Sus scrofa: one gene and its partners. The protein of the gene in region 1 purifies or fractionates together with the protein of each later gene. This does not show direct contact. Links are inferred from orthologs where the notes say so. Each region holds a gene or a part of one and is shown on either strand. Other genes may lie near its edges.

Region 1 (4,058 bases):
GCCCGAGCTGGACCCCACGCCCGACTGGAGACTCGACACTCGGCGCGGTCAGAGCGCGGTCGGTGGGGCAGGCGGGCAAAGGGCCTGTGCACTTCAGGGTCTTCCTCGCGTTTCCTGTCACCTCCGAGGCTCAGGTTTCGCGTCTGTAAAAAGGCCACCTTCACCTTCGTGCAGGGCAATGGGAGGCGCGACAGGCTCCGTGTGGAAAAGGTTTGGCTGCGGCAGGCAGAGGCCTGCTCGGCGGCCACGCACGCTCATCAGGTGCAGGGACCCCGGGAACCTCCAGGCTCTGCAGTGGCCCTCGAAGCCAGCACGGGGGCAACTGCGGGCTCCTGCACGGAGGACCAGCTCAGCAGGCTGGTGGGGCCCGCCTGGCTCCGGGCAGGGGAGAGGGCGGCCCTGCCTGTCCTGGGGTCTCTGGAAATGGTCCTTTGCCAGCTTGGAGTGGCCAGGGGTTTCACAGGGAGCTGGGGACCTGACCACGGAGACCGTGCTCCACCTGGACACTAGCCCCTCTCAAGCGATCCCTGAGTGTGGCACTCACTTGGGCCACCTGGGCTGGTGGCCTTGGCAAGGTCCGGTTCCTGGGAGAAAGAGGCCCTCAGTCTTGGCCAGAAGGGTCTGACTCCCATTATGTCCCAGGGGGCGTGGTGGTAGCACTCCCAAGGCCACACTCCCGGTCACCAAGTCCCCTCCCGCGGGAGCCCTTGCCTATTCAGCCGTGGCGCCGCACGGGGCGCATCTGACGGGACAAGGCTTTGGAAGGGCGGGCAAACCAACACGTGCCTCTGGAGCAGCGACCCGCTGGCCGGCCCCAGCTCCCAGGGCTGGCACCCGCCCGTGGTCATGCATCACGCAGACCACAGAGTCGACCACTGCACCTCCTCCTCCCCCTCATTCCCTGGGCCACAGGCAGAGGTTTTCTCCTGGTGGAACAATGAGCAAAGTTCCAGCACAAAGGGGAAGGGCCAAGGGCACAGGCGTCAGACCTGTCCGGGGCCTCCGACAGCAGGACTCCAGGCTGCGAGTCGGCAAAGGGCTCCAAGCGGACTTTGAGACAGAGGCCCGGGGGTCCTGTGGGCACCCTGCCGGCCCCAGGCAGGGGCTGGTCTCCTTTCTCAGGGCCAGCCCCACTGCGTCCTGCACCAAGCACACCCTACTCGCTCTGTGTACAGACTAAGGAGGATCAAAAGCTCTTGCTCCATGGCCGCTTGTCCCCAGGGAGACCATGCCTGGGGGCGCAGCCACCTTGAGTAGAGACCATCACGGGCTGGACCATGTCCGCTTTCCTGCTCCAGGCTTTGCCTGGAATACAGGCCGTGAGGCCTGGGGAGCAAGCTGACGCTGGCTGTGCTTCGCCTGGCCTGGAGCAGACTGAGAGGCGGGATGTCCCCACAGTAGGTTCATCCCAAAGGACCTCTGGTGCCCTCCCCCAAACGGGAGTTACGGGGAAGGGACAAGAAGAGGGAGAAGGGAAAAAGACAGAAAAATGGGGTCATTTCATTTGGCCGGCAAAGTTCAAGGCCTGGAACAAGGGGTGGTTCCCACCGTTAAAGAAACAGGGCCTGGGATGGAGAACGCCACATGGATATTTGCTGGGACAACACACAGTGTCCCCAAGGGAATGCAGCACGGTTTCTGGTCTCCTCAAAGGGACAAGTGGAACGAGAGAACGTGGCCTCCAGCTCTGGGCTCCTTTCAGCCCAGACTGCTCTTCCTTTCCAAGGGCTCAGCAGGATGACAGGCAACAACTCAGTGGGGTCCAAGAAATCCAGCGTTTGGGCGCTCAGGAGAGTAAGCACGTTTGGAGGCGCCCGGAGCCTGCCTACGACTACGGTGGCCTAGGCCACCCCCCTGCCAGCCGCGAGCCGTGGCTCCGACCTGCCCCACCTCGACGTCACAGCCAGGACGTCCATCTCCAAGTCCAACCTCCGCAAACTGGAGTTGTCCAGCCTGCGGAGTCAGACCATGTAAATCACCTGCCCGCTGCCAGGCAACGGGAGACAGGGCGTGAATAAAGTCGCGCACAGAGCAAGAAACACGAGTCGCTCTTGGGAAAGCAGCTCTGGGATCTGGACCCGGGCTCGAGACCAGCCTGAACTTTATGACGTTGTGCTTTCTGTTTTCGCTCCCTCTCCTTTCGAACTAGAGAAACGCCCTCCAGTTCCAGGGCCGAGACTTGATTTACCCTGAATAACTGCCCACCACACCACTGGAACTCTGGGGCCACCGGGGCCCAGCGTCCACTAGCGAAGCCGGGGGCTGTTCTAAGCACAGACGCGTCCCGCAGTCGTCCCACAGGCAGCAAGCGCAAGCCCACGGAGGCAGAAGCCCTTCCTACCCAACGCGGGAGAGCGGCGTGGACAGGAGCGACCTCCAGCGGGCCTGCGACGCTTCTCCCCGCACTACCCCCTGCTCCCCACCCCCACACCGGGCCTGCGAGGCGGGGTCCGGGCCTGCCCGTCCTGGGCCCCCGCGCCGCGGCCTCCCCGCCCCGGGCCGGCGCCCTCGGCCCCTCACCGGGCTCCAGCAGATAAGCGCGTCCGTGTCCGGGTCGCTCACGAGAGTCCAGAGCTTGGTCAGGAAGGCCGGGACGTTGCTGGGCCCCGCCGCGCCCGGGCCCACGGGCAGATCCATACCGGGCAAGGTGGGAGAGGCGGAGGCGGGACCGCGAGGAGGGGCTGAGGGCCGGGCTAGCGCCGCTGCCGCGCCTGCCGCCCGGGCCGCGCGCCGCCGCCCGCTGCGCACACACGGCCCCGGGGCCTGGCATGGCCGCCGCCATCTTGCGACGGGCGCGCTCCCGCCGGCGCCGCCCGCGTCCCACGGCGCGCGCACGCACACCGGCCCCCGTCCCGCCCGGCGCCCTCTGACCCCGCGGGCCCGCCCCCAGGCCCACGCGGTCGCGTCGCTGCCGGAAGTGGCGGCGCAGGGCAGACCGGCGGGCGGCATGGCGGGACCTCAGGGCGCGCGGCGCGTGGCGGTGGCCGGGACGCGGCCCGGGAAGCGGATGCTGGAGCCGGGGCGGGAGCCGGAGGAGGTGACGCGGGAGCGGGAGCGGGAGCGGGGGGGGGCGGCGGGGCTGGGCCGCGGCACCGGCCGGGGAGCGATCCCGCCCAGCGCCCGGCGGGCCTGGGAATGCGAGGAGGGAGGGGTCTCCTGTCCTCCGCCCCGGCGGCCTTGCGGGGGCGTCCTGGGCAGGGAGCTGGCTGGCGGTTGTGTGGGTCGGAAGAAGGTCTGGGCCGGAGAGAATAAGGAAGGAGAGCCGGCGTCCTGCGCAGCGGTCTTCCTGGGCCTTTGAATTGTCATCTGGGCGCAGAAGATTTGAGCCTGCAGTAGCTGCTTGTATAGCCAAATGTTCCTGACACGTTAGACGTTGTAGAAGAGGAAACGAGGATGAGAAAGCAGCGCCTGCTGCACTGGACGGCCCGTTTTAGCTGGACTCATGCTCTTCCTGTCCAGCGGAACCCCAGCCGCGCTGTGGGGGTGTCATCAAATCTCATCAAATCTCGGTGGTAGAAAGCCATAGCAGGCTTGTGCAGTCGAGCCTCGCAGCTGGGACTCCACGTTGCTGGTTTATCAGGCTGCCCCTTCACTTGTGACAAGTGCTCGTGGTGCTCCCTGGCCGGCAGGCAGCTCTGGGCACCATGCTCACCCACTTGTAGTGCTTTTGCCTCTGTATTCATCAGCGGCTGTTTGTGTTTGTGCCCAAAACATTTGTGCCATTTTTACTTGCCGTTGTAATTGTGTAGCTAGTTAGGCACGATAGAGTGTGTGCTGAGTGCTGTTTGGTAGCTGCTCCGTGCAGGCTGTCCAGTTTGGCGAGAGACTCAGGAACTATTGAAAAACAATGAAATCTAGAATTTTGCCTTCCAATGAATGCTTGCTAAGAGTCTGCAGGTTCTTGTTCCACCGTGCACCCTGTCTGGTGGAGTTAGGGCCGGGGTGGTGTCTGGTGGGCAGAAGTCTGCTCAGAAGCAGCTCTGGTCCTGCGCCACACAGAGCTGGTCACCGACAGTGTGCTCCTTGCAGCCCTCTCTCCCCGGCGCCCCGGCTCCCAG
Region 2 (4,295 bases), on another chromosome or scaffold:
CCTTCATTGCTCCCTCTAGTGGTGATTCTAATGAAACTCAATTTTTACCCCCCCAAAACCTGGTTAAAGACAGTTCTTTCCCCATATACCAAGTCTCCACTAGAGAAAAAAAGCTTTAAGTATTCAACATATACACCAACATATCTTTAAGATTCTCTCTTCTGACCAAGACAGAATGATTTAATAGTGTCTGTCTGTTCCTAAAAGTACTAACAGAGAAAGAATCTGGACTATTACTGAGCTATTAAAAAGTAGAAACAAGACTGCAATCATTCCACTTTTCAAAAACCATAAAGATATTTAAATGAACACTGTATCCAGTAGTTGCGTAGCACTACCATTTATTTTACACTTCACGATGTTTAACTTAGGCTTCTAGCAAACAACACAGCATAACACCTCGAATTTTCATTGGGAAAAGAAACAGAGCCTAGGCTTGAAATCTCAAACAAGCAAGCAAATACTTTGCATTAAAAGCTCTGTATTATGGATTATCAGTTAAGATTGGGTCATTATACTGTTTTCAGTTGGTTAAATTAAAAAACTATAAATACTCAGAAACGAAGTTACAATGTCCAGAATGTATAATGAAAAAGAAACAGTCAAAAGTACTTTCTGACACAGCAAGGTATTTTATTCCTAGCAAATCGTACTACACCCTCAACCCACATTTCTAAAGAGGTTCCTCTCTCCATCCATGCATGATACTAATAAACATTCGGTTTTTTTCCTGTAGAATTAACCTTTCAGGATTCTGAAAAATTTATAAAGAAATTATCAAACTAGCTCTTGAGACACTTTAAGAACCGTCTGTTATAATGGTTACTTGGCATATTGATATTCGGATTCTTTATTTATTCCAAGTATTTTCAATAAATGCTCCTTAAACCCAAATAAATCTAATTAAAAACACATCTACAAATTTTTTACATATCACTAACAAAAGGGAAAAACTCATTACTTACCTCATTTCCAAACTTACCCGCTGTCCACTATTGATTACAAACAAAGTTATTTTATAAGCGTGCTTAGGGTCAAAGAAAATACCCAGGTAGACCCCCTTCGCTTCAGACCTTAAGCTTATCAATGTTATCAACCATGATTGCAAACATAAATGAGAAAAGCAAGTGACAAAGTTCAAATACATAGTAGCCCAGCCTAAAACAGTTCGGTATACAGCAATACACGTACTGAAGGGCTGAGCCACGTTTTAAGCAGAGCACAACTAAAATCATTTTTATTGCACTTTCATCTTAATTTCTAGCTTACCACGTAAAAAATTTCCCAGTAAAAATCTTACTTAAAAGCCGAGTAATTTCTACAATTCCTCATAAGGGAAGCCTTCAGGAAATTAAAAGGATTCGGAACCTTCGGCACACCGCCCCCCCCCAACCCCCGAAGACCACCTTCCCCACGACCTCCCGCATAACCTACAGGACCCTGATGGCTCCGAATTTCGGTTTTTCATTTCTAAAGCTTCCTGCCATGTAACCGCCTTCCTAATCGCCGCAAACCCAGCTAAAACCGCTACGCAAAGGAACAAGGGCTGAAAAACAGAACGTTTTCTTTGTACTACGTATGGCTCGCCTCAAACCCGGGCCCGACACCCTAGATCGTTTTACCTCCGAAGCCGAGCGACCGCCGCCCCTCCCCCCGCCCTGCGGTGCGGCGCCTGAACGCAATGGCGCCATTTCATCGAGGGGAAGGCAGCGAGCCTCTAATGAGGTGCGCAGGACTTTAAAGATCCAGGCTCCCAAACCCTCAGAATCCACCTCGAAACGGCATGAAAACGGCCCGAAAAGGAGAAAAAACCGGCGAACCACCTCTACTCTTTGATAAAAGACTCAAACTAGCTGAATTTAGAGAGTTACAAGGAAAACGCTGCGAGAAAGAGGAGAAACGAAAATGGCGGCCGCCAAATCCGGTTCCCGCGAGGGGGGGAGGGGAAGCCGCAGCCTCGCCCGCGAGGACCCGCAGCCCGCCGAAACGCTCCAACGCGCGGACGCCAGGGTCCCCAAACCAGCGTGCTGTAAAAAGGGAGTAAGAATTCCCGCCTCCGCGCCCCACTTCCACCGAAGTCGGCTTGCGTCCGCCATGTGGAAGTTCCCCATCCCCCACCCCCAGCAAAGGGAAATGGCGCCGGGAGCCTGAGGGTGGGGAAGGTGCGGAACGATCAGGCCTCCGCTAACGACCCCCCTTCAAAAGTACCCCGAGACCAACCGCTTCTGAAGTGGCCCAATTTCGCTGCCGCTCTCCCACGGAGGCGGGTGGCCGACTTCCAATAAGGCGCCAACGGCCTCGCCATGCCCTTTCCAACAACTCATTGATTTCAAACCCGTTACCTCCATCGCGGACTCAGTCGCTTCAGCCCGATTTCCCGCAGCCGAGCGAGATGAGAGAGATCTCCGCGGACGAACACGAACCGGACTCGTCCTGGCGCTGTAGTGAGAACTGCCGCTGCTCGAGAAACAACACCGCTAAGAGCACCTCCACTCGGGACCCGGCGCTGCTGCTACTGCCGCTAGAGCCGCTGCCGCCGCTTTTCTAGAACCTTCCCCCCGACTAACGCGTCCTGCCCTACGTCAGGCCGTTGCGTAAACGCCCTAACCGCCGCCAATGGCGGGAACGCTCTACGACCTCCTTGCGCCAAGTACGTGCCCCTCCCTCCTCGCAGCCAACAGTGGTGCTTGACGTCACTTGCGTAAAAGGGCTCTGTGAATTGCGGAAGGCTCGAGCCCTGCGTATTTCTCTCTCGGAATTAAGTCCAGTCCCCGCCCCCCGCCCAGCTTTAGCGCAGGGCAGGTGAGAAACGGTCGCGCAGTTTGAAATTAACACTGTGGGGAGGAGCTTAATCCTCAGCTTTCAGGTCCAGCCCCTCAACCCGGAAGGTGGTCCTTAGAGCAACGCTTTGATAATCCCAATACCCACCGCCCCCCGTCTCTAAAAAAAAAAATCTTTGTAGCCTTCTCTACAGCGCTTTCCCTCCTCCTCCCTGAATTGAGGACAGACTCGGCCTCTTCCGGAAACACCCGAAGCGACTTGTGGTCAACAAGTTACATTTCACGCCTCACCTACCTAACCTTGGACAACGCTTTTGGGGTCAACCTCTCGGGTTCAGGAGGTCTTTGGACAGGGTAATCTAACTCTTAGTTCCTAATTGAGTCCTCCCACCCAAGTTTTACACCCACCACCAGCATTTGGAGGCACCCAACCCCAGGGACTAGGAAGTGGGCGGAGTCCTGTTTTGGCGCCAGTGCAGCTGCTGCAAAGCAGGAACGCCTCCGCCGAGGAGACTCCGGTCACAGTCCCCGCTCCTCCCTCTCTTTCCCTCCCCTTTGGGGACCACCAGCCGCTACGCCCCGAACGGTGAGTGCCGGTGTCACCACCCCCTCCTTCCCCCACCCACCCTTCGGCTCGGGCTCGGGCTCGGGCTCCCGGCGGGCAAAGCGCGGCGCGCGGCCCCTCCCCCCCGCGGGGCGCGCGCTCACCCCCGCCCCTAGCGGCCGCCTGGCGTGGGCGGTGCCACCCCGCACCCCCCCCACCCCCAGCGGCGCGGCCCCGCGCGCAGCTCCCCAGCCCCCTCCCCCTCGGATGTGGCTGGAGCTAGAGGCGCGCAGGGCCGAGGACGCCGCAGACCTGGGACCCGGAGCAGCTCTGAGGCGGTGAAGTCGGTGTCTTTATTTTCCCCTACCTTTCACTCCGTGGTCTTGCTTCAGATACCACTTGCGCCCCAGAGACCCTCCCCCCAGTTCCCCGCTTCCCATCCTTCCCGGCCCGACCCCGAGTCGGAGCTGGCGGGAAGGAAACAGGCGAATGGAGACCCCGCGGTGGGCCTGGTGCTGGGCCGGTGTCTCTAGTTGGTCGAGGGGACGAGACTGCTCGTTATGAGGTTGAGAACTGTGGCGACAGCTGCCTTATTTGTAGACAAAGCGCGTTTCTTCCTCCCCTCCCCCATCCCGGAGCTACATGAGGGGTCCTCCTCCCTCTCCCGGACTCGGTCGGCGACTCGGGCCTCCAGGGAGGGCTGTGCATTCTCCCGCATCCGTGCGGCCCGAAGTCCGGAGGCAGCGGCGGGCGCTCCGTTACGAGGCCGCCTTCGGGTCGGGGAGGCGCGGGCCCCGTGGCGCAGTGCCCTTGAGCCCCCGCGCCGCGGCCTTTGTTTCTCCCCGCGGATGCGCTGACCATGCGGCCCGCGCTCGCGTGTGGGGGGCGGGGGCCGGGCTCGAAGGCCTTATTAAGCCGGGTGGGGCTGGGGCTTAAGGGCAGCGGCTGAACGTCCGGAAAGAGGTGATTTG
Region 3 (3,500 bases), on another chromosome or scaffold:
AAAACCTAGCATTTCCCTCTCTTTTTGGCGTGACTGATGTTCCTGAGAGCATCAGTCCAGACACTCATGTGTACCATTGGTGGAACGTGAAGACAGCATTAAAAGCAAGGCTATTTTTAAAACTTTGCAAAAACTTAAAGCACACACAGTTAACAAATTGCTGCTGTACATAAAGCACGGAGACTACACTGAGCACAGCTGGCAAGAAAGGAGAGCAAAGCACAAGGATCTAAACGGGATGTGAGACGGACAGAGAACATGACTGCACTACGTACCTTGGTGAAGGTGGTGGACCCAGAGGCCATCAGAATTTGACGCACACGGTTGTGGAAGCGCTGCATTGACTCATCATCCACACGCAGGAAACACTGAGCTGTCCGCTCCTTAGTAACCTAAACCACAAGGTCAAGGTTAACTATCTCTGGAACTGCCACAGGAAGAAGAAATTTTTTGTTTTGTCTTTTTGGGGTACACCCATGGCATATGGAAGTTCCTAGGCTAGGGGTCGAAACAGAGCTGCAGCTTCTGGCCTACACCACAGCCACAGCAACGCCAGACTGAAGCCTCATCTGCAACCTACACCACAGCTCAACACTGGATCCTTAAGTCACTGATCAAGGCCAGGAATCAAATCCGCATCCTCAGAGAGACCACGTCAGGTCTCTAACCGGCAGAGTCACAGTGGGAACGCCAAGAACCAATGCTGACCATCACTAAGCCCTTACTCCCCCAACCAGGCTCATCCGACTGACACTGGAAAGGTATTTGGGAGTTCCCACTGTGGTGCAACAGGACCAGCGGCATCTCTGCAGTGCCAGGACACAGATTCAATCTCCAGCCCAGTACGGTAGGTTAAAGGATCCAGTGTTGCCACAGCAGCGCTACAGATCACAACTATGGATAAGAGCTGATCCCTGGCCTGGGAACTCCATGTGTGATGGGGCAGCCAAAAATGAAAAAAAAAAAAGGAAAAAGTGTGTGCAGTTCCTCACTCCCACCTACCGGGAGGTGGTAATGCTCCTCCCGGCTCCCCCGCCCCCTGGCCCAGGCCCTACCTCATTCTGTAGGTTCCAGACCCCGTCCTTGTGGGTGAACTCCTCATAGCTGGTGCGGCATTTTGGCAGGATGCGGCACTCAAAACCGCACATGTTGAACAGCAGGTTGGGGTTGTCCTTACTGTACACCGACACGAAGCTGTTCTCCCACTGAACTGTAGTCACTGAGCGTGGCAGACGGTTCTTGATGTCCCAGAACACTGCCCGACCCCTGCCCACAGAGAACATGGGTCACACCAGTCCCCTGGAAGGCACTTCCCTGCAAAGGCCAGACTGACGACAGCCCAACAGAGTACATCCTCCTACCCAGAAGACCACCTCCTAAAGTCCCTCTAATTGTCCTCCGGGTCCCTCAGGCTGACATCCTTCTCGCTCCCAGAGCCCCAACTTAGACTCACAAGTTAACATCATGCTTCATGAGGCGCATGCGGGCATCTCGGGGCCAGCACTTCTTGTTATTGTAGCCGACGATGTTCTCATTGTTGGGGTCAGGATGCTCCGTCAGGTAACGCTGGATTAGGTCCCGAGCCTCATCTGCCGTGAACCTGCACCAGACAATGCGCCCTGCTGAGGCCCAAGCACACTGGGATCTCATGCGACCTACAGTTCCCTAGAGGGAGGCCACCCCGCCCCTTCCCACTCAGAAGACTTCCTTCCATTTTAGAGCCCCAACCCAGCAGCAAGCCAACTAAGGCAGGACAGCCACTTCCAGAGGCTGGGCACATGCCTCAGTGCCCTGCAAGGATAAGAAACCAGGCAAGCCCTCACCTGAAAAAAATATGGATACGATCGATGTATCTGCAGAAGAGACGGATGGGGTGGGCAGCCTCAGTAGCTATGTCTTGGAAACTGAGAAAGTCGTTTGGCATCTGAGGGGGCCCAGCCATCTCACTGGCCCGGTGCAAGCCCAACACAAGCAAATCCATCACCAGGCCATAGTACTGCACGATGAACGAGGCAAACTGCAGGCCTCTGATGATCCCATACGAATTTGTATGGTTCATGTCCTAGAAAGAAAGAGGACACTCAACCACGGCAGCGTGCCAGGCTTCTCCGGGGCCCAGCCTCTTCCTTTCCCACCTCAGCAAATCCCAGCTCGGCAGGCTGGACACCCCCACCCCGACCCCGGAACACACCTTGTAGTTGATGACGACGTTGTTCTTGGCAGTCATGTAGTCAGCGATGTTGTGGTCTACGATGAGGCGCAGCAGCCTGTTCAGCAGGGTCAGGTCGATCTTCTCATACATCTTCTCAAATCGTGACTCCAGCATGACGTTGCACTCGCCCTCGCTTGTCTCCCACACGTCCTGCAGGTTATTGATGCCTGAGGAGGGGGCAAGACAGGGCTCCAGCAGGTTAGAAATTCCCTTTCAGGGAGTTCCCGTTGTGGCAAAACAGAAACAAATCCAACTAGTAACCGTGAGGCTGTGGATTCGATCCCTGGCCCTGTTCAGTGGGTTAAGGAACTGGCGTTGCTGTTAGCTGTGGTGTACATCACAGACGTGGTTCTGATCCTGCGTTGCTGTGGTGTAGGCTGGCAGCTGTAGCTCCGATTCGACCCCTAGCCTGGGAACTTCCATATGCCGCAAGTGCAGCCCTTTAAAAAAAAAAAAAGAAAGAAAGAAATTCCCTTTCAGGACCAGTGCCTACGGTAATCCGATCGCATGCCACTCCATTCATTCGCTGGCTTGCCAGGAGAGTCAGCTTTGCTCAGTTTAGCATCAATACCATTTCCTTGCTACTATGCAGCAAGAAAGTAAGCTAATTCTGCTGCCTGGATAGCAGAACTCAATGCGCCTCCCGTTCTCAGGTGCGATCCCAGAAAAGTTTTACCTTGGCACCACTTGTAAACAAGCAGAGGCGGCGGTTCTGTGTCAGCAGGCTTGATCCAGGGCGGGAAAAGGCGGCGCTTGTCAGCTTCGTACCAGAGGTACTGGTCCAGGTAGGCATCAGTGATTTTCTCCAGGGGCTCCACATCATACACTGGCACCAGGTGGCTATAGAGATCCATGAACTCAATGCCTACCTGCGAGACACAGAAGCTGGCTCACACCAACCCACCAACCACCTGAGACAACCTGCCACACTGGGTGCCAGGGATGAATCACGCAGCCAGAACAAAATGTCGAGGGCATCTCACTCACTTCTTTGAAGGCTCTCTGTGTGAGAAGGTGACGCTTGATGCGGGACAACGCCTCATGGGGGTTGTCATAAGCTTGCTCGATCAGACCCAGCTCTTCCCTCTGAGACTGGTTTAACCGGGACTTCACACTGACAAGGCAAAAGAAAAGGTGAATGGGAAAATCAAGAGGAAGCCAACCCCAGAAAGGACTGATGCTAAGCCTTCTTTCTTTGGACTCTTGATGATGCTGTCATTCTTCCCTGTCACCTCCCCATAGGAACCTGTCTACCCCTCACCTGTAAGCTTCCTTGAGCCGCTCCAAG
Region 4 (4,206 bases), on another chromosome or scaffold:
CCCTTGCGCCTCTCGTAGCTAGCCATACTGTCAGCCCAGGAAAAGATCAAAGCTGAAAAGTAGTTTCTCCTGAGTTCCCATCATGGTGCAGTGGAAAAGAATCTGACTAAGAACCATGAGGTTGCAGACTCAATCCCTGGCCTCGCTCAATGGATCTGGGGTGGCTGTGGCAAAGGCCAATGTGTGTAGCTCTGATTAGACCCCCTAGCCTGGGAACCTCCACATGCTGTGGGGTGCAGCCTTAAAAAAAAAATTTCTACTGCATGTGTGCTTTCATGCTACCATAGTAAAGTCAAAAAATTGTTGTGAGTGGAAGGCCATCTATATATCCTTTAGGAAGGGGACTGAGTGTTGTACAGATGGCAGCTCAAAACTACCGCTTGTCACATAGTTAGCAGTAACCATGTCCCCCATGTACCATGTGACTGTACTCAAGACTAGGGAGTGAGAAGCCAGGGAAACTCCAAAAGCAGTGTTGTATATACTTACGAGAGCGCAGAACTGTATAAAACTGCATCTTCTTTATTTTGCATACTTTAATCTCAGAACAAAATAAACGAGCACAGTACACGACACCCAAACCCAGTGTCAAATGTGGGAAGGGTTATTAGGGCTTGCGGCCCCTGTAGCCTGCCTTAGACAGAAAAACAAATAAAACCACTAGACATCAGCAGAGGAGACCAGGTGGGCTAGGGCCACTGGGGGCTGCTGCCAGGGGAGCCAATGGGGACACTATACAGAGGGAACAAAGTTTGCAGGTAGCAACTCCTAATCTACTTCTTCCATGCGAGATGCATCCTCATCACCCTCGAGCGGGGGGATCTCATCAGGAACAGCAGCACTGGGCTCCTCTGCTGTCACTTCGTCCTCATCAATGCCTAGAAAGAGGGAAGAAAGAATGCCACTTGAGATCTGGCCCCAAAAGCATCAAATCTGTGTCCACCAGGCTAATTCTCCAACTCCTCGCCACACCTACTGCGCAAGGGTACTTACCCAGGCCAAGCTTGATCATGCGGTAGATGCGGTTGGAATGGGTCTGGGGATCTTCCAGCGAGAAGCCAGAAGACAGCAGTGCCGTTTCAAACAGCAGCACCACTAGGTCCTTGACAGCCTTGTCATTCTTGTCCGCCTCTGCCTTCTGTCGCAGCGTCTCCACAATGGGGTGGTCAGGGTTGATCTCCAGGTGCTTTTTGGCCATCATGTAGCCCATGGTCGAGTTGTCCCGAAGTGCCTGAGCTTTCATGATGCGCTCCATGTTGGCTGTCCAGCCATAGGTGCTGGTCACAATGCAACAGGGTGAAGACACAAGCCTGTTGGAGATGGTCACCTGTGGACAACCACAAAAATCTTTGGTTTACCTTAAATCAAAACTACCTCAAGGCAAAAAACGGTATTTTGAAGTTCTATCCTTGGGAAAATAAAGCCTCATCTTTGCCAAGTCTTAGAGCAATGACAAACTTTCCCAGTAAAAGAACACAAAAAACAAAAATAAAAGTTCCCATTGTGGACCAGCGGGAACAAACTCGACTGGTGTCCATGAGGATTTGGGTTCAAACCCTGGCCTTGCTCAGTGGGTGAAAGGATCTGGTGTTGCTGTGAGCTGCGGTGTAGGTCGCAGACATGGCTTGGATCCAAAGTTGCTGTGGCATAGGCCAGCAGCTGTAGCTCTTATTTGACCCCTAGCCTGGGAACTTTTGTATGCTGTGGGCGGGGCCTGAAGAGAGGGAAAAAAAAAATCTGCCCAGTTAAGAGAATAAAATAGGATGGCTCTAAACAAATAAGGCTGCGCCAAACCACTAATCGTGTAGCAACCAGAAACTGAGGGCAAAGCCCTGAAAGCACTTACTACTCCGTTCACTGCTTACCTTCTCTACTTTCTTATCCAAGATCTCTTTCATGAGTTTGCAGAGGTTCTCAAACTTGGCCTTGCTCTCCTCCATCTTTTTCTTCTCCTCCTCATCCTCAGGCAGCTCCAGGCCCTCCTTGGTAACTGAGACCAGGCTCTTCCCATCAAACTCCTTGAGCTGTTGCACACAGTACTCGTCGATGGGCTCTGTCATGTACACCACCTCGAAACCCCGCTTCCGCACACGCTCCACAAACGCAGAGTTGGCAACCTGCTCCTTGCTCTCACCTATAGGATTATTAAATGTGACTCAAGGATCAGAATGCCCCAGCCAGCCAGCTCCCAGGTATCCCTGTGTCCTCCCCTTCTCCTAACACCTGAGAGGCTTTGTGGTCAGGCCCTACGTTCCACTCACCAGTGATATAGTAGATGGACTTCTGGGTCTCCTTCATGCGTGAGACGTACTCTGAGAGAGAAGTCATCTCATCGCCAGACTGGGAGGTATGGTAGCGCAGCAGCTCAGAAAGGCGCCGCCGATTAGTGGAGTCCTCATGGATTCCAAGCTTTAAGGGTGGAAAGGGAAAGTCTTACTAGAAAATAATTATCCCCTACATGAATGAAAAACAGCCATCTTCATCATTAAAAAAGCAAGCATTTGCTGTCTGCTTACCTTTAGATTTTTTGAGAAAGCCTCGTAGAATTTCTTGTAGTTCTCCTTGTCTTCTGCCAGCTCAGAGAAGAGCTCCAGGCACTTCTTAACAATGTTTTTACGAATGACCTTCAAAATCTTGCTCTGCTGGAGCATTTCTCGGGAGATGTTCAGGGGAAGGTCTTCAGAGTCAACCACACCGCGGATGAAGTCTGAAATCAAACATGGATGCTCAGTTAGACACCCCCCCTACAAAAACAAAAAAGTATACACCGCCATCCAGCTGCACCAGTTACACGGCAGAGGACCCTTAGCTTCAGAACAAAGGCTTCATCAGAGTTCCCCATCATGGCGCAGTGGAAATGAATCTGACTAGGAACCATGAGGTTGCAGGTTCAATCGCTGGCCTCGCTCAGTTGGTTAAGGATCTGGCGTTACTGTAAGCTGTGGTGTAGGTCGCAGACTCAGCTCGGACCCTGCGTTACTATGGCTGTGGTGTGGGCTAGCAGTTATAGCTCTGATTTGACCCCTAGCCTGGGAACCTCTCCATATCCTGCAGGTGTGGCCCAGAAGAAAAAAAAAAAAAAAAAAAAAAAAAAAAATCAAGGCTTCAGTTCCTTTGAGAAAGCTGAGACCAACTACATTAGGCAGAGAAGGTACTCACTGAGGTACTCTGGTATCAGCTCATCGCAGCTGTCCATGATGAACACACGGCGAACGTAAAGTTTGATGTTGTTCTTTTTCTTTTTGTTCTCAAAGAGGTCAAAAGGAGCCCGACGGGGGATGAACAGCAATGCTCTGAATTCCAACTGACCTTCTACAGAGAAGTGCTGTGAGAGAAATCCAAGATAAGCCAACTGTGTATTTTAAGAGTGGCTTTTGTCCCAACACCAAATTAAACTATTTGGGGAGTTCCCGTCGTGGCGCAGCGGAAATGAATTTGATGAGGAAACCCTAAGGTCGCATGTTCAATCCCTGGCCTTGCTCAGTGGGTCGAGGACCGAGGGTTGCCATGAGCTGTGGTATAGGTCACAGATGTGGCTTGGATCTAGGGTTGCTGTGGTGTAGGCTGGCAGCTGTAGCTCTGATTAGACTCCTAGGCTGGGAACCTCCATATGCCGTGGGTGCGGCCCTTAAAAAACAAAAAAATTAAGTTATTTAAAAAAAAAAAAAACTATTTGGAAAAAAAGACCTTCCCCCTTAAGCACCAGGAATAGACTAGACTCTATGGTAGCTGTTGAGAAGCCCTAATAATGCCCTAAATGAATCCAACATAGTGCAACCTGTACATAATCCTTGTGTTAACGAGGAAATAGCCAATTCAGAATGCTAGATGGGCAAAGCTGCCAGAGACACAGTGAAGTCCCTGGAGATGTCATTCCCCTGCCCTGGAAGGGTCCATCAGTAGGTGAACTCATGGCATTCCCAGTTCCCAATCAGTTGGGCAAGTGCCACTTGCCCATTACCAACTCTTCCTATTGCGCCAACAAACAAGGCTTCTTACCTTGACTGCCAGGTGATCTTCCCAGTCATTGGTCAGGCTTTTGTAGAACTCTCCATATTCCTCCTGGGTGATGTCATCAGGGTTCCTGGTCCAGATGGGCTTGGTCTTGTTCAGTTCTTCCTGATCAATATACTTCTCCTTGATCTTTTTTGTCTTCTTTTTCTTATCTTTGCCACTATCATCCTCCTCATCTGAGCCCACATCTTC
Region 5 (3,500 bases), on another chromosome or scaffold:
GTGGCTCTTCCATCAGAAGGGGCTGCCACCTCCAATTTCCAGAGAGCACAGAGCATCCAGCAAACCTGTGGTCACTGACGGCTGGAGTGGCCCGGCAAAGGTCTGGTGACAGGTCCTTCGGACTCCCAAACCCAAGCCCTCTCTTCCTCTGTCCCACTTCTAACTCTGAGCAGCAAAATACCCCAGCGAAATCCTGGGCAGTCAATCCCCATGCTTGTGAGAGAGAGACACACACACAAAGGAACCCGGGTCACAAAGGCCAATTGTACCATGAGCCTCCGCATTCTCTCCTTCTCGATTCTTTCGTTTTCCTTCTTCTGTTCCCGCTCTGTGTTGGCGTGGTAAGTGGCCACCGCCTTTGTGAGTTTCTGGATTTTGCCTGTGACTGATCTGTGATATTCTTTGAAATCCTTGGCATGCTGAAGAATGCTGTTGAGGTATTCCTGTAGGAAGCACACAATAGAGCAGACTGACTACAGGACAGGAGTCGCTGCATCGAACATCAAAGGTAGCTTGGTGAAAACCCAGAGGGCACAATCTAAACAACACATCGACCCTATGCCCATGAAGTCCAGCATTCTCTGCGTCGGGATAAAACTCCATGCCGGCCTGTGGCGTGAAGGGCCTTCCCTCGTGCACAGTAGATGGGGTAGTCCACAGGGCTTCCACTGGGCTGGGACCACCTGGCACTGTCTGCCAAGTGCTTCCAAACACAACTGCCTGCCAGCCAAATCACTCCACTGCTAGGGATTTATTTCAAGGAAAAGAGCAGAGACTGGCCCCCAAATTCAAGTATAAGAAAGTCTATCCCAATGTTATTTTTAATATTGAAAAGCTGAAAATATACTGCATGTCCCCCAGTAGGAAATGGTTTCATAAATTACTGGATGCTGGACATACTGAGAAGGACTACAATGTAGACACTAAAATCATGCTTCAACAATACTCTAAACAGGTCAACATGTGTATGTTGTTTTAAAAAGTGGCTGCTTAACTTGTGATTACTATATGTAAGAAAAAAGAAGATTGGAATGATATATACCAAAATGTTAACAGAGGCTAACACTGAGCACTGACTTTTTTGTTATCATAAACCGTATCAGTAATAGATACTGATAGGAGAAAACTTCATAAAACATATATCAACAAAATCAACCCAAATCCTATTTGAGGAGAGATTCTGGTTTCCTTTACTGATGTTGTAACAACCTCTGCCAGATCACTCCCTCTGCTTAGGACCCTCCAGGGCTCTCATCTCATTCAGAGTGAAAGCCCAAGTCATCCCCTCGCCCCATGGAAGCCTTGCATGCTCTGCCCATCACCTCCCCCTTCTCCCCACCTCCTGCTCGCCTCCTTGCTCACTCCACTGACTACACTGGATCCTTGCTTTTCACAGAGCAGTGGGACACAACCAGCCCCAGGGCCTTTGCACCTTCCCCTCTATCTGGAAACACACACATCTGGTGGCTCCCTCCCTTGGGCCTCAGAGCTCACCTGCTCAGGGAGGACCTCCCAGACGGACCATCCTCCATCACGCTCTAGCCTCACTTCATGCTTCCTTACACCCTATTAACTTCCAACATGTTATACACGCATCTGATTCTACTATTTGGCTTTGTCCCCTGATGTATTTTTAATGCTCAGAATACTGACATAACAAACGGAAAAGAGACACAGACAGTGTGTTGACAGATAAACCAAGGCTCAGCAGCTTACAAGCTGACACCCTGGACATGTGGGCAGGCTAACGCGCAGCTGCAGGGACCTACCTGGTGCTTCTGCCGGCGCTTTCGCTCCTGCTCAATCTTTTGCTGCTTCTCCAGCTTCTCGGTGATGCGGGCCTCGCGCAGGGACTGCCGCTTGCTACGCTTGTAGGCCTTGGCATTGAGGGCCGTCTCGAGGGCTGTGTCCCTCCGCATGCACACTACCACCTCCTGCCGCAGCTTCAGGAAGGAAGAGGAGAAACTGGTAACGGGTACAACTCCGCGACATCTGAATGACATGCACAATTCCACATGGCAAGCTGGGCAGAAGGCTCCCGCTCCCAGAAGGACCCATGAGCACAAATGTGTGCACGGGGAGGACACATGGTGAGGCCCTCGGGTTGGGAGATGGCTGCTTCTGGACACCCGGCAGAGAACACTCTCACACCTCAGGTCTCCAGTTCTACCCTCCCTCAACCACAATCAAACAAAATTTCTTATTGGTTGTTCAAAAGGAAAGGACCCTCAGCAATAGACCCATCTAAGTTCCCTGCTTCAAGCTGGTCACTGCCGCCTTAAGGAAGACCCACGTCTATTCAGCCTGTGCCTTCACTGAGCAGTTCCTCCACTGGGCAGGATGTGCAGAGGAAGGGGGGGGACAGTGACCTAATGAATGTGGGTGAGCACTGAGGCTTTTAATGGTCAGGGTGCATTTAAAGACCTGAAGCAGTAACATTGACAGAAAGGGCTCTTTTCCTAAAGCATCAGCTGCGCCTGCGCCCACCTGCCTCTGGAAGTTCAGGAGCCTGAGGGCCTTGAGCTCAATGGTCGCTTTGGTTCGCAAATCCCCGGCCAGGGACCCGGGAAGGTTTTCAAGTTCCTGAATTCGGTGTGCGATGCGAGCCTGCAGCCTAGAGTGCAAAGATAGAAAGAAGAGCAGGTGATGGGAGGTCTCACTTGTTTATAAGGAACACACCTCTTCCTTTTCTTTAAAGCCAGAACCTCAGAAGAATCCAACCCTTGAAGGAGGCTGCTACTGGTCACAAGACAGGACATGGCTAAGAAAAGGAGGCCACACAACACAGACTACACACAGGACAGCAGCTGCAGAGGTCTCGGGAGCCACGGCAAACAGGAAACCTGACAGGGCGCAGCAGGCTTCTGCCATTTCAGCAGTGGGAGCCAGGCTCTGGAATCAGGCAGCCAGTGTCTCCATCCCAGCCCTGGGAATCTACTTAGCCCCTGAGCCTCAGTGTCCTTAGGTGTGAAGTGGGGAGACCCTTCATAGCACCCTCCAGGGTTGCTAACTGTAAAAAGAGACTTCAAAAAACCTGTATGGGAAACAGTACACAGGTAAGGATGAGAGCAGGGAGGAGGCATAGACCAGACAGCAAGGTGAAAGGCGCTGGGGGTAAGGAAGCTGAAAGGGTTCACCAAGCGGACATCAGGGATGAGGAAGGGCAAGCAAGGGTCAAGGGGCCACGGGGGCCACGGTCCACTCAGCTACAGGATGGTAGGTGCATGGGAACAGAGACAGGAGGGGAAAGTGGGTGGGTGTACCACCATCTGGACAGGCCATCTTTAAGCCGTCCAGATGGGGAGGTGCCTGGGTATAGGGGCTGGAGCTCCAGGGCACAGCACAGCTGGAGATGCACTCTGGAGACGGTCATTTGGCAAAGCTTTCCTGGTGCATCTGGGGAGTTTATGGTGCACAAGGCACAGCCCCCTCCTCTGATGGAGCCAATATTTATTTACCAAGGGAGGCTAGCCCTGAACAAGTCATAATGGAGAAACAGG
Region 6 (3,999 bases), on another chromosome or scaffold:
CTAATGATTATAATTTTGCTCCAAGGAACACTTGGCCAAGGGCCGAGGGGGGTGGACTGTGCAGAAGAGAGCTACTAAAGCAGGCCTGAGACTGCTCTCCTTAGAAAGACTTGCTCCGTGGTTGGCCCTTGGCTGGCATTTCAGTTCTTGGATTTCAGGAAGGTTCTCACCATTTCCTTAATGATAAAGAGTCGCTCACTGGGCCTACACTGTGCAAACAATGTGGTTTATGCTGTATACCTGCGTTCCCTCCAGGAATCTGGAATTTGGGTGTATGCTAGCAGAGGGCGCCCCCAGAAAAGCCCTAGGAGCTGAGTCTCTAATAAGCTTTCCTGGTAGATGACAGTTCATGCATGTCATCACACTCATTGCTGGAGGAATCAAGTGTGTCCTGTGTGACTCCACTGGGAGAAGACTGTGGGAAGGTGGGGCCTGGTTGCCTCTGGATTTTGTCCCATGCGCTTCTTCCCTTTTGATTTCGCTTCGTAGCCTTTCGCTGCAATAAACCTTAGCCGTCTGTGAGTAGGACTCTATGCTGAGCCCTGGGAATCTCTTAGTGAATCATCAAACTGGGGGTGGTCTTGGGGAGCCCCAACACAGAGCAAAGAGAGACTTCTGGCGTGTTGGTAGTATTCTCTTTCTCAGTCTGGGTGCTGTTTACATGGGGTGTGTTCAGTTTGTGAAAATTCACTGAGCTGTACAGTTAAGATATGTATACTTTTCTGGCAGAGGGAGTCAACTTTATAAAAAGATAAAATGGATATTACACATCACAGGGGTTAAAAAAGAATAACTTAATTAAAAAAACTTATTTAGTAAACATTTTATTTTTTTAAAAGTTTTTTATGATAGTTGATTTACCGTGTTCTGTCAATTTCTGCTGTACAGTGACCCAGTTATACATATGCATATTCTTTTTTTCATATTATTTTCTATCATGTTCTATGACAAGGGATTGTATAGAGTTCCCTGTGCTATACAGCAGGACCTCATTGCTTATCCATTCTAAATGTAATAGTTTATTTAGCAAACTTTTTTTTTTTTTTGCTTTTTTGCTTTTTAGGGCTGCACCTGTGGTACATGGAAGTTCCCAGGCTAGGGGTCAAATGGGAACTGCAGCCACTGGCCTACGCCATAGCCACGTGGGATCTGAGCCAGATGTGCAACCTACACCACAGTTCACAGCAATCTTTAACTCACTGAGAGAGGCCAGAGATCCAATCTGGGTCCTCATGGATGCTAGTCAGGTTCATAACCCACCGAGCCACAATGGAAGCTCCCTATTCAGCAAACATTTTAATCACTCCTTTTTATTAGGCACTATGCTGGGAGCTTGGGACATGGGGTAGGAATGATGTCATCATGCCACTTTGTTTATTGGGAGTCAGGTAAAGAGATACTTGTAATTCGGTTGATTTTTGCTGAGTTCTAGCACAGACATCATAGGATGTCTAACTATTACCAAAGACTACTAACCTGGGTAATCGGCTATTGCAGGGTTTCCGCTCAAACATCTACAGAAGCCAGACAGGCAAATGGGCAAAGGGGTAGCTGGGAACTGTGGCAAACTGGAAAGGTATGTAGGCATAGAGTTGCCACAGCAAGTAGTTTTCCTTAAGAAAAAGCCACAAAACTGATTTTTTTATGTGCGCTCTCTGTATTTTTGAACCTGTAAATGGATCCAAAAATTTAACAGCGGGAGACCAAACAAAACACCTCTGCAGACCAAATTTGGCCTTGGTCTACCAGTTTGCCAGGCATTCCGCCAACCAGCCACACAGTCCCTCTTACCAAACAATTGAAGGTCCACTATTTTAGGCGCTGGGAGACAGCAGTGAGCCAGCCAGCCGACTTTCTTGCAGAATAGCGGGGTGGGGGCTCTGGTTCTGTGCTTCTCAAACTTCCCTAAGTGTAGGACTCACTGGGAGGCCTGCGGTGAGGCCTGAAGCTTTGCCTTTCTAACAAGCTCCCAGGTGGTGATAATGCTGGTGGTTCCTGCACCATACTTTGAGTAGCCTTGAGCTGTAACCCAGAGGCTCGGGAGCAGCTGTTATTTGAAGGAGGGAAGTAGGGGGTTTGTCTTGAAGGTCACATTTGCCTGGCAAGCATCCTCTTTTTACTTAGATTTTAGTTTACTGCAGGGACTTGGAAGAGAGTTGATGACGTCGAAGGCGGGTGTTAAGGCTCTCCCAGCTACCTCTCGGCGCTGCCGGGTCTCCGTTCTCAGTTTATAAGCTCGAAGGCGGGGCAGGGGTGAAGGAAGGTGGTGGGAAAAACTTCCTGGGGGAGGTGCACGTGGACTGCCCGACCTTCCCCAGCCGCCGAGAAAGGGAGAAACCCCGAACTCCCCCTCTCCTGGGACTGGGTCTCAGCATCCCCACGCCGGGTCTGGTTTCCCAGGCATCCCACGTGTCCGCGAGTCCCTGTCAATCAAGCTTCTCCTCCCCGGGCTGGGCACGGGTTTAAAGGAGGCTGCTGCGCAGAGAGCTCCCATAGTGCCGCGCGGCGGGCGGGTTTGGATTTTAAATCCCCGCGGCCAATCAGTAGCGCGTAGGCTTTTGTAACGTTCCCGGCGCCGCGTTTGAATTCGAGGAGGGGCAGAGCGGTGCCAAGCCTCGGCCCAGACCCTGCTAGGTCCGCTGAGCAACTCCGGGGACATGAGTGCGGCGGCAACTACAGGGAAGCTGGCGCGGGCACCGGCTGACCCAGGAAAAGCCGGGGGCCCCGGAGTTGCAGCTCCCGGGGCCCCGGCGGCCGCTCCGCCGGCGAAAGAGATCCCGGAGGTCCTAGTGGACCCGCGCAGCCGGCGGCGCTATCTCCGCGGGCGCTTTCTGGGGAAGGGCGGCTTTGCCAAGTGCTTCGAGATCTCGGACGCGGACACGAAGGAGGTGTTCGCCGGCAAGATCGTGCCGAAGTCGCTGCTGCTCAAGCCGCACCAGAAGGAGAAGATGTCCATGGAGATATCCATTCACCGCAGCCTTGCCCACCAGCACGTCGTCGGCTTCCACGGCTTTTTCGAGGACAACGACTTCGTGTTCGTGGTGCTGGAGCTCTGCCGCCGGAGAGTGAGTGTCGCTGCTGGGAAACTGGAGCTGCCTGCAGGCTGGGGTTGGGGCGTCCGGACCCAGCTGCTGGGGAGGGGACCCCCCGGGACTCGGAGCTGCTGGAGAGGAGGTGCTGGGTGGGAATCTCGAGCTGGAAGTGGAGAAGGTCTCGAGTAGAGAGGGGGCTTGGCACTTGGGGCTGCTAGGGGAGGGGGGTTCGGGTTTAGTGGAGCCCGGGTCGCGTTGCCTCTAGGGAAGGCGGCTCAAGGACGCTAGGAGTTGGGCGGAGTTGGGGAGGCGCGGGTCGCGGGAGAGCCCTGCTAATGGTCTTCCGGAGTTGCTAGGTACGGGGTGCTCTGGACCTTCCGGAGTGGGGTTGGGTCAGGCACAGGGTAGTTGGAGCCAGACTTGGGGGCTTCCGGGGAGGAGAGGGGTCAGAAAAGGGATCTCTTGCTGCGGAAGAGGCCTGGCGAGGGGGTGGCGGGGGGGGGGGGGGGGCATACGGGGTACTCTTGAACTTCCTGAAGGGTTGAGAGAGGAGTCCCAGGTAAGGGAGCTGGTGGGAGAGAGGGCGCTCTGAACCGTTGTGGCCTGGCTTAGGGGAGAGTGGAGAGCATAGCTGTCCTGGAGAAGGACTGCTGGGTAGGGTCCTAGGCAGCTTTCACCTAATGATACTGCTTCCCTGCCTTGGGCCTGAGTACCCACTGCCCGTTCCTCCTTCCTCCCCTCGCCAAGTCTCTCCTGGAGCTGCACAAGCGGAGGAAAGCACTCACCGAGCCCGAGGCCCGCTACTATCTGCGGCAGATCGTCCTCGGCTGCCAGTACCTGCACCGAAACCGTGTTATTCACAGAGACCTCAAGCTGGGCAACCTCTTCCTGAACGAGGATCTGGAGGTGAAAATAGGTGAGGAGCTGGGCCTGCAAGGGCGTTTGACATTGCAGGAAGTGGGAATGA
Region 7 (4,053 bases), on another chromosome or scaffold:
CTTCCCCTACCCAATGGACGACAACCAAGAATGTCTCCACACATTGCTAAATGTGGTTAAAACCACTTTCAGGAGAGAACCACTGGTGTGGAGATACACACTTGAGAGTCATCAGAGTAAAGCCTCAATCCGACAGGAGGTCACACAGGAAGTAAGCGTAAATGAGAGTCCTGTGAGAGCTCCAGCGAAAAGAGGCTGGGGAGTGAGGACACGCTAACAGAGGATGGGGAAGAAGGGCCAAAGGGTGGGATGAAAACCCATACACCTCGGAGTTGCCGTCATGGCGCAGAGAAAATGAATCCGACTAGAAACCATGAGGTTGCGGGTTCGATCCCTGGTCTCGCTCCGTGGGTTAAGGATCCGGCATTGCCGTGAGCTGTGGTGTAGGTCGCAGACACGGCTCGGACACAGCATTGCTGTGGCTCTGGCATAGGCTGGTGGCTACAGCTCTGAGACCCCTAGCCTGGGCACCTCCATGTGCCACGGGTGTGGCCCTGAAAAGACAAAAAGACAAAAACAAAAACAAAAAAAAAGAAAAAAAAAAAAACAAAAAAACACAGTACATCTCAATGTCCTAGTAGCATAAGGAAGAAAGAGATCGTGGAGTTTCCTGGTGGCTCAGTGGGTTAAGGATCTGGTGTTGTCACTGCTGTGGCTCAGGTTCCTCCAATCCCTGGCCCAGAAACTGTCACATGCCACAGATGCAGCCAAAAAAAAACCAAAAAGAGACAGAGAGTGAGATCAAGGAGAGGGGTTAGCAATCAAATGCTGTTAGCAGGTTAAATGAGATAAGAGCTAAGAAATGGGCCACTGACTTTTTTTTTTTTTTGGCCAGACTGCATGTTAAGTGCTCATACGAAGGCTCTGTAGTCACAGTTCTGGATCAACTGGGCAAGATGTTAATCTTTCTGTGCCTGTTTCCTACCACACAGTCCTAAGGATTCATTGACATCGTGGATGTACCTGGATGAGCACAATGTCTCGTACACTGTAACTGTCAGCAACAACTAAATAATATGTATGACAAATACAGCTATTAGTCTCCAAAACAACCCTCCAAGGTAAGTATTATTGTCACCCCCCCTTCACAGATGAGAAAATGGGGGCACAGAAAGGTGTGACTTGCCCAAGGTCACACAGTCAGCCATCCACAGAGCCTTAAGTCAAACCTAAGCGTACTGTCCACAGAGCCTGTGTTCTGTTCTTTGGTTTGGTTTGGTTTTTTAATGGTGGTACTCGCAGCATATGGAAGTCCCAGGCCTGGAACTGAATCATGGCCACAGCTGTGACCTATGCCTGTGGCAACACCAGATCCTTTAACCAGCGACCTGAGCTGCTGCAGTCAGATTCTTAACCCACCTCACCACAGCAGGAACTCCCACAACCTGTGCTCTTAATGAGACTATCCTGCTGCCTCCAGGAGCACTGCCTATGTGCCTGGCACTGCATGCAGCCCTGCTTCAACTGGAACTTCGGAACTACTCAGTGAAGTACCACTGGTATTCTAACTGTCAGCATCAACTTGCAAATAAAGAACTTGGGGCTCAGAAAGATGAAGGGACATACCCAAGGTCACACAGCCATAAAATGCTGAATCCAGGTCTGTCTGCGGAACCCTTGCCTCTTCTTTTTACCACGAGGCTACTCTGCCTCCCTGCACAGTGCAGGGATCCAGGGATCAGACCTTCAGTCTACAATAACCCCATCAAGCACAAGGAGGCTACTCTGCCTTCACACCTGGCCTCCCGACCCTCTCGGGACTCCCTCCCCAAGATATCTCGGTCCGCACACCCCTCACCCCGGCTTCTTGGGTCCCCCCCCTTTACCTCCTCACTCATGGGTTCTGGAGGTGGGTCTGGCTCTTCAGAGCCCGCCGTGATGGCCATCTGCAGCAGACCTTGGAGGTTTCGCGGGGGTGGGGGGTTGCCCGAGCCCCCAGCAGAGGAGCCGCTGCCCCCTGACGAGCAACCCTGAGAGGCTGGGGGCAGCGCCAGGGGAAGGCGGCTGCCCCCAGAGCCTTGGTCCGCCATGGGCTGTTTGCGAAGAAGGGACGAATGTGCTGGGGTAGGGGATGGTCACCGCTGAGGTAGCGCGGGCTTCCTGACCGGTCGACTCCTGGAGGTCTGCTGAGAAGGTGGCGTTTTAGGGGAGCTCGGCGGCCCTCCGCGACCCCAAACCACTCTGTCCACATGCCCTTTAACCACAGCCCCCATTCCTTCCTTCACACCGGCGAGACCCTTCCCCAAAGTCACAAGCCCCTCCTTCGTCCCTAGCAACAGGCCCCACCCACTCTCTCTAGCAACCCCCTCCCCCATCTTCACCGCAGGCGTTCCCGTCTCTTAGCAACCCCACTGCCCAGCCCTCATAGCAACCAGGCCTCCCTTTGGTTTTCTTGGCAACAAGTCTCCTCCCTCTTCTCCGAAAGAGGGGAGCCAGAGCGGGGCGGACCTCACCTCCCCGGGCCTCGTGTCGCCGCCGCTACTAAAGACAGAGTCGCCCGCACCTGACTACAATGGGCGCCGCCATATTGACAGGAAATACGCAAATCTCGCCCGGAAGTTCCCGGCGCAGACACCCCACTTAGGGCCTTAACTAGGCGTGAGGAGGCCTCGCCCAGCTCCGAAGTCCTTCCTAACTGGCGGGATACTGCGCTCCGCCCAGCCCCTCACCTAGGCCGCGCCCCTCGTGCTCCCGCTCTGGCCTAAGGCCCGCCCCCGGCCCGGATCCCGCCCTTAGCGAGCCCCACCTCCCCATGCTCATTGCAAGCCCCTGCCCTAGTGTAGGCCCCGCCCCCCGGCCTGGCTCTGCCTAGGCCCAAACGCGTCCACACCCAGCCCGAGTTCTAAACTGGTCCCTCTCCGCCCGCTTCAGGCTCCGCCCCTGTTCCAGGCCTTTCGGCCTCTCCCAGGTGAGCCCCGCCCCCGTGCCGGTTTGCCGGCCGTTCCCCCGTCAAGCCCCGCCCACTTCTTGGCCCCGCCCCATTCTCGCTGAGCGTGCCCCGCATCAGCAAGGGCTTTTCTCTTCCATCTAGGACCCCACCACGTCTTTTACTGGAGCCCTGGGGTCGCACCACTAATAACCTGACCCAGGCACCCAACCCCACCCGTCTCCTGGCCTCAGTTTCCCCATTCGTCAAAGGAGGCATTCTCCACACTGCAGCACTACCTGTGCCGGTGCTTATTACCCAACATCTGCCTGGTGGAATCTTCTCTGGGTCCTGCCCAGGTGCAGAGGAGGGGATCGTTGAAGCCTGAAGTAAATGCCCACGCAAGGTGGTTTAGGCCGCTTGAGGCCTCCCTGCACCAGATTTGGGGCTCAGGTCTGGGAATGTGCCTGGCCTTTGGAGGTGTTTCCTTTGGGGTGATCTTAAGCGAATCCTAGTTGTGGTCTTCCGTAAGAGACCCTTCCCCTCGAGGAAAGGCTGTACTTATCTTGTGACCTACGGTCACAGGTATATTGAGCCCTTGGCTAGGTCTGCAACATGCCAGGTGCTCTTTTGGACAGAGATGGAAAGACCAGTGTACAAGCTGTGTGTGTGTGTTGTTTGTTGTGGTTTGTAGCACTGAGAAGCCTAGCTATCTGACGTGGGTCTAGGCCCCTGTGTACTTTATTGTATCCCTTTCCTATTGTTGCTCTTAACAAATTACCAAAAACTTGGTGGCTTACAACAACGCAGATTTATTAGCTTACAGTTCTGGAGGTCAGAAGCCCCAAATGAGTCTCACTGAGTTAAAAACCAAGGTATCAGGGGGATTGTGTTCCTCCTGGGGGCTCCAGGGACCCTCTGTTTCCTTGCTTTTTCCAGCTTTTAGAGGCTGCCCACATTCCTTGGATTGTGGTCGCAGCATTTCAGCTTGTTTCTTTCCCTGTCCCATCTCCTCCTCTGCCTCTGATCCTCCTGCCTCCCCATGATAAGAACTCTTGGGATGACATGTAGGACCCACCCAAGGAACCAGGATGCTCTCCCATCTAAGACTTTCAACTCAGTCACACCTGCCACGTCCCTTTTGCTATGAATATGTAAGGCAACATATTTGCATGTTCTAGAAATTA

What was found.
Region 2: the proteins of HSF1 (region 1) and HNRNPA2B1 purify together in Homo sapiens (affinity purification with mass spectrometry; 3 studies listed by BioGRID, with this or other methods). This does not show direct contact. The link is inferred for Sus scrofa from reciprocal best matches to the Homo sapiens genes HSF1 and HNRNPA2B1.
Region 3: the proteins of HSF1 (region 1) and PRPF8 purify together in Homo sapiens (affinity purification with mass spectrometry; 3 studies listed by BioGRID). This does not show direct contact. The link is inferred for Sus scrofa from reciprocal best matches to the Homo sapiens genes HSF1 and PRPF8.
Region 4: the proteins of HSF1 (region 1) and HSP90AB1 purify together in Homo sapiens (affinity purification with western blotting; 3 studies listed by BioGRID, with this or other methods). This does not show direct contact. The link is inferred for Sus scrofa from reciprocal best matches to the Homo sapiens genes HSF1 and HSP90AB1.
Region 5: the proteins of HSF1 (region 1) and SMARCA4 purify together in Homo sapiens (affinity purification with western blotting; 3 studies listed by BioGRID). This does not show direct contact. The link is inferred for Sus scrofa from reciprocal best matches to the Homo sapiens genes HSF1 and SMARCA4.
Region 6: the proteins of HSF1 (region 1) and PLK1 purify together in Homo sapiens (affinity purification with western blotting; 3 studies listed by BioGRID and IntAct, with this or other methods). This does not show direct contact. The link is inferred for Sus scrofa from reciprocal best matches to the Homo sapiens genes HSF1 and PLK1.
Region 7: the proteins of HSF1 (region 1) and HSPBP1 purify together in Homo sapiens (affinity purification with mass spectrometry; 5 studies listed by BioGRID and IntAct, counting the BioPlex papers as one, with this or other methods). This does not show direct contact. The link is inferred for Sus scrofa from reciprocal best matches to the Homo sapiens genes HSF1 and HSPBP1.

The regions. Positions count from the first base shown.
Region 1 is NC_010446.5:483,666-487,723, forward strand, and holds the start of HSF1 (heat shock factor protein 1), read right to left. Parts: upstream 2,801-4,058; 5' UTR 2,783-2,800; coding exon of another isoform or gene 2,638-2,782; coding exon 2,521-2,637; intron 1-2,520. Other genes in the region: ribosome biogenesis protein BOP1, read left to right, coding at 2,948-3,037, 4,030-4,058. UniProt on the Homo sapiens protein: Functions as a stress-inducible and DNA-binding transcription factor that plays a central role in the transcriptional activation of the heat shock response (HSR), leading to the expression of a large class of molecular chaperones, heat shock proteins (HSPs), that protect cells from cellular insult damage.
Region 2 is NC_010460.4:46,203,669-46,207,963, reverse strand, and holds the start of HNRNPA2B1 (heterogeneous nuclear ribonucleoproteins A2/B1), read right to left. Parts: upstream 2,801-4,295; 5' UTR 2,349-2,800; coding exon 2,343-2,348; intron 1-2,342. UniProt on the Homo sapiens protein: Heterogeneous nuclear ribonucleoprotein (hnRNP) that associates with nascent pre-mRNAs, packaging them into hnRNP particles.
Region 3 is NC_010454.4:47,881,787-47,885,286, forward strand, and holds part of PRPF8 (pre-mRNA-processing-splicing factor 8), read right to left. Parts: coding exon 3,474-3,500; intron 3,327-3,473; coding exon 3,200-3,326; intron 3,082-3,199; coding exon 2,889-3,081; intron 2,380-2,888; coding exon 2,192-2,379; intron 2,063-2,191; coding exon 1,824-2,062; intron 1,601-1,823; coding exon 1,454-1,600; intron 1,267-1,453; coding exon 1,056-1,266; intron 393-1,055; coding exon 276-392; intron 270-275; exon of another isoform or gene 1-269. UniProt on the Homo sapiens protein: Plays a role in pre-mRNA splicing as core component of precatalytic, catalytic and postcatalytic spliceosomal complexes, both of the predominant U2-type spliceosome and the minor U12-type spliceosome.
Region 4 is NC_010449.5:39,246,774-39,250,979, reverse strand, and holds the end of HSP90AB1 (heat shock protein HSP 90-beta), read right to left. Parts: coding exon 4,000-4,206; intron 3,326-3,999; coding exon 3,160-3,325; intron 2,708-3,159; coding exon 2,517-2,707; intron 2,410-2,516; coding exon 2,262-2,409; intron 2,135-2,261; coding exon 1,866-2,134; intron 1,328-1,865; coding exon 994-1,327; intron 879-993; coding exon 769-878; 3' UTR 501-768; downstream 1-500. UniProt on the Homo sapiens protein: Molecular chaperone that promotes the maturation, structural maintenance and proper regulation of specific target proteins involved for instance in cell cycle control and signal transduction. Undergoes a functional cycle linked to its ATPase activity.
Region 5 is NC_010444.4:69,737,707-69,741,206, reverse strand, and holds part of SMARCA4 (transcription activator BRG1), read right to left. Parts: intron 2,615-3,500; coding exon 2,488-2,614; intron 1,944-2,487; coding exon 1,770-1,943; intron 444-1,769; coding exon 270-443; intron 1-269. UniProt on the Homo sapiens protein: ATPase involved in transcriptional activation and repression of select genes by chromatin remodeling (alteration of DNA-nucleosome topology).
Region 6 is NC_010445.4:22,548,096-22,552,094, reverse strand, and holds the start of PLK1 (serine/threonine-protein kinase PLK1), read left to right. Parts: upstream 1-1,199; 5' UTR 1,200-2,657; coding exon 2,658-3,065; intron 3,066-3,779; coding exon 3,780-3,948; intron 3,949-3,999. UniProt on the Homo sapiens protein: Serine/threonine-protein kinase that performs several important functions throughout M phase of the cell cycle, including the regulation of centrosome maturation and spindle assembly, the removal of cohesins from chromosome arms, the inactivation of anaphase-promoting complex/cyclosome (APC/C) inhibitors, and the regulation of mitotic exit and cytokinesis.
Region 7 is NC_010448.4:59,461,734-59,465,786, forward strand, and holds the start of HSPBP1 (hsp70-binding protein 1), read right to left. Parts: upstream 2,801-4,053; 5' UTR 2,454-2,800; intron 2,127-2,453; exon of another isoform or gene 2,124-2,126; 5' UTR 2,031-2,123; coding exon 1,827-2,030; intron 1-1,826. UniProt on the Homo sapiens protein: Inhibits HSPA1A chaperone activity by changing the conformation of the ATP-binding domain of HSPA1A and interfering with ATP binding. Interferes with ubiquitination mediated by STUB1 and inhibits chaperone-assisted degradation of immature CFTR.